Linked DNA regions of Schizosaccharomyces pombe. Changing the gene in region 3 together with the main gene of any one other region gives a genetic interaction. Each region holds a gene or a part of one and is shown on either strand. Other genes may lie near its edges. The genes, in order: amt1, wtf21 and srk1.

Evidence for each region.
Region 1: mutations in srk1 (region 3) and amt1 together harm fitness more than expected from each alone (negative genetic interaction), as found in Schizosaccharomyces pombe (one large-scale study listed by BioGRID).
Region 2: mutations in srk1 (region 3) and wtf21 together harm fitness more than expected from each alone (negative genetic interaction), as found in Schizosaccharomyces pombe (one large-scale study listed by BioGRID).

Annotation. Positions count from the first base shown.
Region 1 is NC_003421.2:2,066,841-2,070,596, forward strand, and holds the start of amt1 (plasma membrane ammonium transmembrane transporter Amt1), read left to right. Parts: upstream 1-2,138; 5' UTR 2,139-2,965; coding exon 2,966-3,756. UniProt on the Schizosaccharomyces pombe protein: Transporter for ammonium to use as a nitrogen source. Under ammonium limitation acts as an ammonium sensor, generating a signal that leads to pseudohyphal growth.
Region 2 is NC_003421.2:2,062,542-2,066,297, forward strand, and holds the start of wtf21 (wtf meiotic drive antidote-like Wtf21), read left to right. Parts: upstream 1-1,692; 5' UTR 1,693-1,910; coding exon 1,911-2,049; exon of another isoform or gene 2,050-2,216; coding exon 2,217-2,462; exon of another isoform or gene 2,463-2,483; intron 2,484-2,509; coding exon 2,510-2,755; intron 2,756-2,791; coding exon 2,792-2,983; exon of another isoform or gene 2,984-3,023; coding exon 3,024-3,086; exon of another isoform or gene 3,087-3,136; coding exon 3,137-3,240; 3' UTR 3,241-3,756. Other genes in the region: nucleoporin Npp106, read left to right, coding at 1-351. UniProt on the Schizosaccharomyces pombe protein: Acts as a suppressor component of the dual wtf meiotic drive system, and can suppress but not confer meiotic drive by compatible poisons.
Region 3 is NC_003421.2:1,300,387-1,304,142, forward strand, and holds the start of srk1 (MAPK-activated protein kinase Srk1), read left to right. Parts: upstream 1-1,550; 5' UTR 1,551-2,513; coding exon 2,514-2,525; intron 2,526-2,748; coding exon 2,749-3,756. Other genes in the region: protein mug150, read right to left, coding at 254-568. UniProt on the Schizosaccharomyces pombe protein: Delays the mitotic G2/M transition by promoting nuclear exclusion of cdc25. During osmotic stress, inhibits the G2/M transition in a sty1 stress-activated MAPK pathway-dependent manner.

The DNA.
Region 1 (3,756 bases), 770 kb from region 3:
GTACGTTACCTTACCAAAATTTAGAAATAAGGAATAAAGGATTGATACACTGCATTGTCTTATAAGGAGATATTGTAGGAGCGGTAGGGAGAAGAAGGAAAAGATGTGTGGATTGGAAAAAGGGAAGAAAAGAGTAAAGGAAAATGGAATGAATAAATAAATAGAATTGACGACAATTTTAGTAGTGAAAGCGGTTAGAAGGGAGGAAAAGGATTAGAAAGAAAAAGTAGAAAGCGTATTATGAAGTATTATTTTGAAGATTGAAGAATGCATTTTCTAAGTTGCTTGAGTTTACTTTATTAGGGATTGTATTGCACTTGCACTTGGGATCAGGAGTAGGATTGGCATTAGGATTAGAATAGGATTTGGGATTCCTCTTTGATCAAAAATAAATAAAAAATAAAAAATTAGAAAACTTCTAGTGCTCTCGCCAGAACTAGAACTTTTTCATGCAACGGAACGAGATGAACGGAGAAATGCGGAACCAAGATGAAGCAAGACAACAAGTCGATTAACAATGAAAGAAAAAAATATCAATATAGTCGGAAAACAAAAAGATGATTGATTAATAAGGAAAGTATGAGAAGGAGGCGGTAATTTTGCAAGCGTTTCAATTGCAATGATATTACAAATTCAAAGTAATAAAATGATAAACATACATAAACAAAAATAAACATAAATTAAAAAATAAAAAAATAAAAAATCGAAAACCAAAAAAAAAAAAATTTATTAAAAAAAAAAAAAAAAGACAAGAACAAACAAACAAGCAGATAGGGAAGTGGAAAATTACAAATAAAATTTAAAAAAACAGGGGAAGAAAAGTCAAATCAAGGTAGAGATGAATGATTCATCATGTTAGCGTTTGACAAATTAAAGATCAAAGAATTTATTAGAGATGATAAACAAGGGCAGAGCTGATTAGATGAAAGAACGATGGAGAGAAAAGAGAGAGGAGAGAAGATTAAAGAGAGAGAAAAGAAAAAAAAAAGAAAGAAATTAAAAAAAAAAAAAAAAAAAAAAAAAAAAAAAGGAAAATTAAATGAATATCCTCTTTTTTGCATGTCTCTTTCTCTTCTCTCTCTCTTCCTTCTTTTCTCCCTCCTTCTCTCTCTCCCTGCCTTCCTTTCACATACGAATATTAAACTACTTCCATGTATCCGAACGGGATCGTCGCAGGACACTATGGATAGGCCGGACGAAACAAAAGAAAAGGAAAAAGAAGAAAAACAACCGTCATAACAAGGATGAGGAGCCGATCGAACGACAAAACATTATCAAAGCGATTCCAGAGATTCCTTTAATAGCAATTTATCAACTAGCACAAATCATAGTTGCACATAACATATATCAACTAAGCACACAACATATTCCATACTAGCTAGCATATCATATATTATACTACCACATACCCTACCCTACCCTACCCTACCTCCTGCGAAACCAAGCCATATCAATAATGCCTTTTGCCTTTGACTTTGAAACGTCAAAAACAATGGAAAATTGAAATTTTTTTTTTCTGTTTTTTTGAATGAATGAATGAATAAACTGTTGAAGTATATTTTCATAGCATCTCTTTTTTTATTTTTTATTTTTTTTATTTTTCATCTTTCTATTTCCATTTCCATTTCTATTTCTACTTCTACTTGTTTTCTTCTTTCTCTCCTTTCTACTGTCTTTTTTCTCTCTCTTTAATCTTCTCTCCTCTCTCTCTACTTTTGTCTTTGTCATTGTCATTGCCTTGTTGCTCGCCCGCCGAAACAGCTCTTGTCACCTTTACACCACCCTTACATCGTTACCCATTCTAAACTCTGTTCGGTTGATTTCGGTTACAGAGTCGTCCGATTGGTTAAGGAATTTGTTCTTTTATCGTTAAATACCCTTATCTCGTTACCTATTGCCCACTAAAGCTTTAAGTTAATCTCTTTACATAATCATTGCTCGCCTTTGGTCCAATCATTGCGTCGGATATAGATCTCTGCTTATCTCGATCGTTACTTTGAACCAATCATTAAAAATATTGCTGTCCAATTGCGTCCTTGCATTTTTGCCGTTATCAAACTTGATAACCACCAGATTTTAGGGATGCTTAGAATCTGCGCGCATATAAAACCGCCGACTCTCTCCCCTACCGTACGGTTGAGACGCGGATAACCAACGTTGGCCTATTTCACCCTGCACCTTAAATCTAACGATATTCCAACCTTAGAGCATATCTTGACGCCTGACTTGCAGTGCATCTCTTTAACTTGAATTTTACGCATTTCTTGCTCTTGTGCGTGCATATTTGCTAGCTAGGTAGTTTACAAATTCAAATTTCTCTATATTTGTTTTTGTTTTATTCTTTCATTCATACTTCCAGTCTGTTGGATTCGCTGGTTCAATTTTTGTTCTCGTTGTTGATACGTGCATTTACATTTACATCTGCTTCTGCTTTAGCGTGCATTTGTTTATTTTATCGTCATCGGTTTTTGGGTGGTTGATACAGTTTTCTTTTTTTTGTTTTGTAATAGAAGAAAGAAAAAAATTTGAAAAACAAAAATAATTCAAAGTTCAAAGGAAAAGAAGAATAATTTAATTCCTTTTTTTTTTCTCTTTATTAATTTTACTTATTTTCTCGAAATTTGATTTTTCTTCTTTTCGAGTGTTTTTCTTCTTCTTTTCTCCCCAATATTCAAATATCGATCCCCTAATTTCTTCTTGGTCGTTCGATATATATATAATTTGTTGTGTTTTCTTTTTATCGTTTGGGTCCTTGATTTCCTAGGTGTTTTTTTTTTTTTGTCTCTATAGAAAAATTCCTTCCATTTATACATACCTTATTAGTCTCGATACTATTTTATTTTACTTTTACTTTTCTTCTTTTCGCCAACAAACCTCTTTTGTTTGTAATTTTTTTAATCCCCTTTATTTTGGGTTGTGTTGGTCTCTCTTCATTTCTTAATAGATAGACAAGACTTCTTGAATCATGTCTTCCACTACCGATGCCACTCCCACCCCTTCGGGTGTCAATGGCGGTGATTCCATGACCGTCAATCTTAATCAATTTTACAATAATGGTGATGTTGCCTGGATTCTCACAAGTACCGCTTTGGTGTTTATCATGATTCCCGGTGTCGGTTTCTTTTACTCCGGCTTGGCTCGTCGTAGAAGTGCCATTTCTATGCTGTTTTTGTCAATGATGTCTGTCGCCATTGTTGCCTTTCAGTGGTTCTTTTGGGGTTATTCGCTTACTTTCTCTCACGAGGGTGGTCCATACATCGGATCCCTCGCCAATTTCGGTCTTCGCCAAACGTTGGGTAGACCTTCTTCCGGTGCTTCCAGTGTACCCGACATCTTGTTTTGCGTGTTCCAAGGTATGTTTGCCGCCATTACTCCCGCTTTGGCTATCGGTGCTGCCGCTGATCGCGGTCGCATGTTTCCCTGTATGGTCTTCATGTTTCTCTGGACTTCCATCGTCTACGACCCAATCGCCTTTTGGACTTGGAATCCTAATGGTTGGTTGAACAAGTTGGGCTCTTACGATTTCGCTGGTGGCTCTCCCGTTCACATCTCCTCCGGTATGGCTGCTTTGGCTTATTCCATCGTAATTGGAAAGCGTTGTGACCATGGTACTACCAAATATCGCCCACACAACGTTCCCCACGTCGTTCTTGGCACCGTATTTTTGTGGTTTGGTTGGTTCGGCTTTAACGGTGGTTCTTCCGCTGCTGCCAACATGCGTGGTGTCATGGCTGTCGTCGTTACACATCTTGCTGC
Region 2 (3,756 bases), 760 kb from region 3:
ATTGAACATTTGGATCTTTTGCCAATCAATGAAGTGCAAGCTGAATTCGAACCCAATGAACAAATTCCACCAATTTCTGCACGTTTACGGCGTCGCGCTTTTGAGTTTTCCACATTCCAGGATGAGGTCTTGAGCGTTATTCCATCCTTAATGTACATTTCCATGTCTTCCATTAAAGCTTTGTACAGAACAATATCTAAACTTCCTGTAGTCAATGAGGAATCAAAGAAGAAATTACAACGTTTGCAATTTAAAGGGTCTATGTTGGTGATGTTCAGTACCATGATAGAATCACGGTTGTCTCCCCAAATTCTAGAATACCTTCAAGCTGAGCAACTGACTCTTCTGTAACGAAGCATTGGCTTCTTTTCTTACTGCGAACTGAACGTTTCATATATCCTCTTGATAGTTGTGTTCAATTTTTTGGTATTTTTGTATCTTTTATGACTTAAAAATAGGAATTTTATTCACTTGCCTTAATGCGTCTTTAAGCTTTTAATTCAATCCCAACATTTATTCATCTTAATGTTTTCCCATTTTTATAGTCTTCGAAACTTTATGAATACAATCTAGTAAACAAATATAATCGGGATTGCATAGCTTGCAAGGTCAAGTTTCTGTCAAATAATTGGTTCGTTTATCTGCTAAATGCTTCAAAATAATTTTGTAAATCATGTTATGCCGAATATTTCATAATAAATTCATATTTACACTTTTCACATAAATCCTCCACTTTATAGCACAGTGAATTTAGTTATGAGCCATTTATTGACTAGCTCAAAAGGCTTTACGTTTTTTACAAATAATTAATTATTTTTTTTAATATGATATGATTCTTATTGATATTTCGAATTCCGCACTCGCCTAAAATATATCGAATAAAATATATTATTTGAACTAAACGAACTAAAAAGTTGAACAACTCAAATCAGTGAAGGAGATATATCTTTTCGACTTTGTTCTACGATATGCCAAACGATTGAAAATTACTTGCCCATAGTTAATATATAATAATTAGTATGTAAACAAAAGGTAAATATAAAACCGAACAGCAATAAATGGGTGCAGGAGTATTTGATATAAGAAAATGTTGAAAATGTTGAAAATTTAATATAGTAATGAATACCAAAATTAAGTTGAATCAGTTTTTGTCTTTTCAAACGAAACAAATTAAAAAATTTTTTAAAAAAACTTTAGCATGGCTATGAACGACCAAATGCTTGAGTGAGATTTTAAATCACGAAACCCGCTACACAGTCAATTATGGTTTGCAGTTGCCAGACACGCGATTAACTATTTATTTAACCAGGCTTAGAACTACAGTGAGTTTTATTTGCGATTTAGTAAAGAGTGTGTATGCGATAGTAACGAACAACGATATTAATCATTGTTATGAGAATTTTAATAATATCATTCACACTGAACCTCATTCCTCAGTTCAGTTATGAGTTATATCGGTGACCGATACTAATAGACTTCTTATAACAATAAATATAATATTGTTAGTTAACATACCGCTTACCGCTATGTTGTAAGTCGCTAGAAATCTCGCCGCAGTGCTATGTATCGTTAAAGCAGATACCAAATTGCGTACTGACATTATAATTATACTACAACGTTTTGCTTCTCAAAAACGTTTAAGGAAATCTAAGTTGGGGTGAATAAAAAGGGCAGTGACAAAATAAATGTGTCAGAAGCAATTACATTAAAATGAGTTTTGGAATTCTACTTTTCACTTGCTATTATTGAAAAAACAGTTTGCTTTGAAACGAGTATTATTCATTTATTTATGTTGAACAGCTGAAATTGAACTCCAGAGCGAATATTCTTGATTTTGCTGTTTCGTTTGTCGCAATCATAGCAATTAATTCGCGCATGTGTTTTATTAAATAAAGAATGATCTTGATGAAATGAAGAATAATTACACTTCTTTGAAAAGTCCTCTAGATGAAGAAGATGAATTGAAGACAGATCATGAAATCGATTTGGAAAAAGGACCACTCCCAGAATATGATTCGGAGGAAGAGGGCGCATTACCTCCATATTCAGGTAAGAATTGTAAACAATAAGAAAGGAATTACTCAATGGAAAGTTGAAACTTGCCATCTTGTCAAATTGCATGCTTTGGTCATTGTTTACAGTCGGCCATGCAATGCACACAATTTGATACATGCTCTTTCTTTACTAAAGTATTTCAATCATATTAATTTAAACAGATCACGCACTTGTAAATAATCCTCCTAACACACATAGAGAAAACAATCCTTCCAGGTCGACAGATAATTCTTCCCCTTTCTTGATAAAACTGCTAATATCATTCACACCAATCTATGTACTGAATGTACTCGCAATTTGTTATCTAACGTATAAGGACGCTTTCTTTAAGGATTATGGTGCAGCAGAATGGACATTATTTGGATTTTGGTGTCTTGTTTGCACTTTGGCTTTAATATTCTTGACTTGTAAGTGAGACAATGGGTAATCTTACCTTCAGTCACTAACTCATTAGACTTCTATGAAACTTGGGTCAAGGCAGTTAAAGTAACTGTAATTTCCTTGGCAAAATGTGTAAAGGTGATTTCTATTGGCCTTTTCAACATAAGAAGAGAGATGATGATTATAATTTGGATACTCTGGCTAATCATTTGTTGTATACTCTTCGTTTACATCAAATCCGGCGATCTAATCTTAAACAAGGCACTCATCTGTTCTACATGCACTATTTCGGCTGTTTTACTTTTAATTGTATCATCTGGTAAGTGAAGTTACAATGCTAAACGCTGATAAACAGTTTGTATTCCATTTTGGACATTCGAGCGTACGTTGGCTAAGTTGGCAAAAGTGCTTTTGTTACAAAGTGGTATCGTGTTGGTACTAAACGGTACGATGTTTTTACGTGGTAAACATTTTGAACGGATAGGTTGTGAAATTGAAGCCTCTGTGTTATTTATTATGGGCAATGTTCTTTTTCTTTGCGAAATGGGTTCGTTAAATATTGCTTTACTTTATTCTAACCATGCCAGAATGTCCAGGTGCACTCATAAGAACACGAAACTCTATCAGGAATGGTATAGCTTTTATATTAGGTATGTGTATTCAACCAACTGTATGAATGATTTTTTACTTACCCGACTAGGAGGGATAGGAAATGCGATGATGGGGCTAGCAAATGCGATTAGAGGTGCCAACGATAATAATGACATTCCCTTGGGGGAAATGGATGTTGAAAGCGAAGTCTAGTTGCATTATTAATGTTGTGCTTCCGAACATCTCTATAATTGGAAAACTTTCTTTACGAAAATGGCCAACGCAAAAAAGCATATAAGCGATAGTTCATATTTTCCAGCTTTATCGCATTATATTTTTAACACATTCTTTTAAGTGTCACTAAGTTGTTTGTCCGATGTATTTACCTGAAAAATTTTAGTAAAATTTGAATGACAATTGAATGCAGTACTGCGAGATGATTTGATAATGAAATCAGAAAAGTTGAAGTTGGATTGGATATTTTTAATACTTTTTTTTTAAATTATTTTTGCAGTGTTTCATGAAATTTTGCTTTTAATGAGTCAAGATTAATTCCAACTATTTTCCTTTTTTAATAATAGCATTTGAATGTGTATAGGGTGCGGGACGTTAGTTCATCACATATTAAATACACTTTGATTGATGTTCCTTGTGTCCTACCATATCAACTGTCTTGTAGGAAAGGTCCATGATTTTTTTTTTAATGGTCAATCAATATTTTTAGGATGT
Region 3 (3,756 bases):
TTTCCTATGCGATTTCTTTAGCTGTCGCACGCTTTTTTCACTTATTCTAATACGACTCTGCCTTTCCTATCCGCCAATATCGTCTTAGCCAGTATATCCAAATTATAAGTATAAACATGAATACAGTAATAAGAGAACTGTTCATTCTTAGGTAGGCCTTTCTTATATAAACATATTCAGGTAAAATCAACATTAACTTTATATTCATTATGACTATTGAAGAAGCGATTCCTCAGCCTGTGCAAGCTGTCAGCTATATTTCCAAAGATTGGAATGATAACGTAATAAAACACAGTGATACGAAAAGAAACCATAGTAAAGAGGAATCATTGTAGAGAATCTCAGTAAAGTATGGAATCGCTATAAAGAGAAAATTGAACAGAGGAAAATCGCAGCAAAGAGATATGGTAGTACAAACAATCCATGCCTTATACAAAAGGTAAAGGTAATTCGACAGTACAATGATATTTTTTAAAAAAAACATGTTCTTTCTACTACAATTATTTGGCTTGTCACTTGAGGCAAAGACGGCGAAGCGTTTATCCATGATGATAAACAAGCTCGCCATCTCTATACTTAAGGGCTTGCATTGTATGGAAAGGGCGCAATTGCCGTGCCCTATAAGAAGAACTTTTGATTTTTCAAATGAATTTTAGATCTTGAAGTCAGGCGACAACAGCCAAAACATCATCTCATCTCATTCATTCAACAATGAGGAATGGGCGATTTTTCATCCAGCGTTTTTATCAGGTCAATTGCGTCGATCTCATTGTACACCAAGATGATGGATATGTAATGAAGCCAGCCAGTCGGCTTATGAAAATTTTGCTAATTATAAGAAATCAATTGCAAGTAACAGAAATGAGATGGATCGCTGCATCAACAAGGATAATGAGATAGACAGATAAAGTTTGTTGAAAATTTTCACGACAGAAGAAAATCACTCAACTAATCAACTCAAAATGGAATAACATGGAAATTTATTTCGCCAAACAGTGCAGAAGCCACTCAAAAGTGAAATGAGCAATGGAGGGGAGGAAGGAAAGATTGGTTGATTTGCTGTATCAGATGAAATTCATGGGTGAATGAAAAAGAAAAAAAGGTTTGCAAGAGGATGGATGAGTGAGATTGAAAAAATATTAGATCTCGAATAAATTCTTTCTATCCATCTTTCATAGTATACAATCGAAAACAAGATAGAACACATCCATGCCATCCATACTTCTATCTTTTTTTTTCTTTCTCTCTCTCTCTCTCCCCCCCTAGCATTCCTCCAACAACCTCTTTATAAACGATATCCTCTTCTCTTCCCTTCCTACACCAATATCCTCCTATTTTGTCTCTGATGTCATGCTGACCTCCACCCACTTTACACTTTTACCTCGCCATTGCACCGTGTCGCTTACCGCAAAACCTCATCGAGTCATGGATGCGCAACGTCACCACCATCGTAAGCGAATACAGAGTTGGAACGAGCGGCTCGCATGATGCCAATGACGTACGTTAACGAAGGACGTCAAAGTAGGCAAATCCGCCGACATAAACTTCTTGTCTTTCGCATACCACGATTGTTGGACACCAACAATATATTTCTGTGAAAATCAATTGAAAAGCTAATTTAGTAATTTTTTGGAGACTATTGGAAGGGTACCCAGTATTGGAAAGTTATATGATTCTTAAAAATGTACGTTTGTAAATGTTTGCTCACTCGTTCGTGTGGGTAATGTTTGAGTCGGATTTTTGTTTGGATTGTGGATGTAAACGCGGATATTAGAGGCTGGAGATGAGTATCGGAAAGACTTTGCGTTTGGAGAGTGTTGTTGACGTTACACTTCCTACCTTTGGACTGGGTTGGGGATAGGGATCTTAGGAGAGATAAGTGGACGAATGAATTAGGACGGTTGGACAATATCGAGTCTTGGAAGATTACTGAATTCTAATAAAAAAAAAAGAAAAGCAAGAAGCGATTTTTTTCTTTTGTGTTTTTATTTCATTTTTATTTTCTTTCCAAGTCTGTGACTAGTTTTTTGGACTTTTTTTTGGATTTTTTTTTTCTTCTACGTCAGGTGCTTTCATACGGAGATTTGCTCTTTCCTTGATGATCAGTTTTGATTTCATCTTTACCTTATTCTATATCACGTCTCCTTCCCCTTCTGCTAGGCGGTGATTGTATGCTTGACTTCATTCTCTACATCATTCAGGTGACGGGTTTCGCTTTCAAGTCGTTAAGTTAAATTTGGCGGATGCGCAAGTGTATCTTTTTTTTCATTCTTTTTGTGCGAAATTCCTTTTTTTTTTCTTTTTTTTTTCTTTTTTCTATCATCTTGTCTCTCTGTTATCTTGGTTTAGTTCAAGAGTACGGATGCGGATAGATCAGTGTCAAGAATTTGGAAGCAAATGTGTTGGCACATTTCCAGACGTAAAACCAAACGACTAGAGATCTTTAATTAGTTATTTTTCTAATAATACCCATATCTCTTGATTGATTCCGTTTGTCGCCGTCTGTTCAAATAATGCGTTTTAAAGTATGTTTGAATTACCAAAAGCATAACCATAACCATGCCTATTGATTATACTCCCATCCTTTCCATTCCATCCCTCTTCTCAGTAGGAAACATCAATCTCACCGCACTTCTTTTACGCATACAATGTGTTTTGGTTTTGTTTTCTTCCAACCACCTTTATCCATAAACACATTTCCCTTTTACTTTTTTTTTGTTTTTTGTTATGCTAATTTAATTTATTTAGAGTATTCAGCAAAATATCGAGGACGAGGGCAAGGTGAACGTTCGCGAAGTGAATCCCGATTCCTATGCTGAACGGGACCATGGCTATACTGCTGGCATATTTTCGGATGCTGAAGAAAATTTTGGCATAACTCAGCAAGTAGCGGACTCCACTCAAAATCCCACCTCGAAACCCAAGTCCCGGCATGCACATTTCCACGAGACGGTGCACGAGAATCCTTCCGAATATTCGCGCTCCAAATGTAAACAACCTACCAACGAAAAAGAATATGATAAAGCCATCGAGGCTTTAGTTGCAAAGGCCATTGTTGAGGAACATTCCGGCCAACAATTTCCTGTATATAAAGGCCTTGAACAATACACTCTATTACAAAAGATGGGCGATGGTGCTTTTAGTAATGTATACAAAGCTATTCACAACAGAACGGGTGAAAAAGTCGCCATTAAAGTTGTCCAGCGCGCTCAACCAAACACCGATCCTCGCGATCCCAGAAAAAGACAAGGCGTTGAATCGCACAACATTTTAAAAGAGGTTCAAATCATGCGTCGCGTTAAACATCCTAACATCATTCAACTCTTGGAATTCATCCAAACCCCGGAATACTATTACCTGGTTTTAGAGCTGGCTGACGGTGGTGAATTATTTCATCAAATCGTTCGCCTCACCTATTTTTCCGAAGATTTGTCTCGTCATGTCATAACTCAAGTTGCACATGCCATTCGATATCTGCATGAAGACTGCGGTGTCGTTCATCGTGATATCAAACCTGAAAACCTGCTTTTTGATTCTATCGACTTTGTGCCCTCTCGGGTTCGTAAATACCGTGCCGGAGACGATCCCGATAAGGTAGACGAGGGCGAGTTTATTCCCGGTGTCGGCGCTGGCACCATCGGTCGAATCCGTCTCGCAGATTTCGGTCTAAGCAAAGTGGTTTGGGACTCTCACACTCAAACTCCGTGTGGCACTATGGGCTATACAGCCCCTGAGATTGTCCGTGATGAAAGGTAT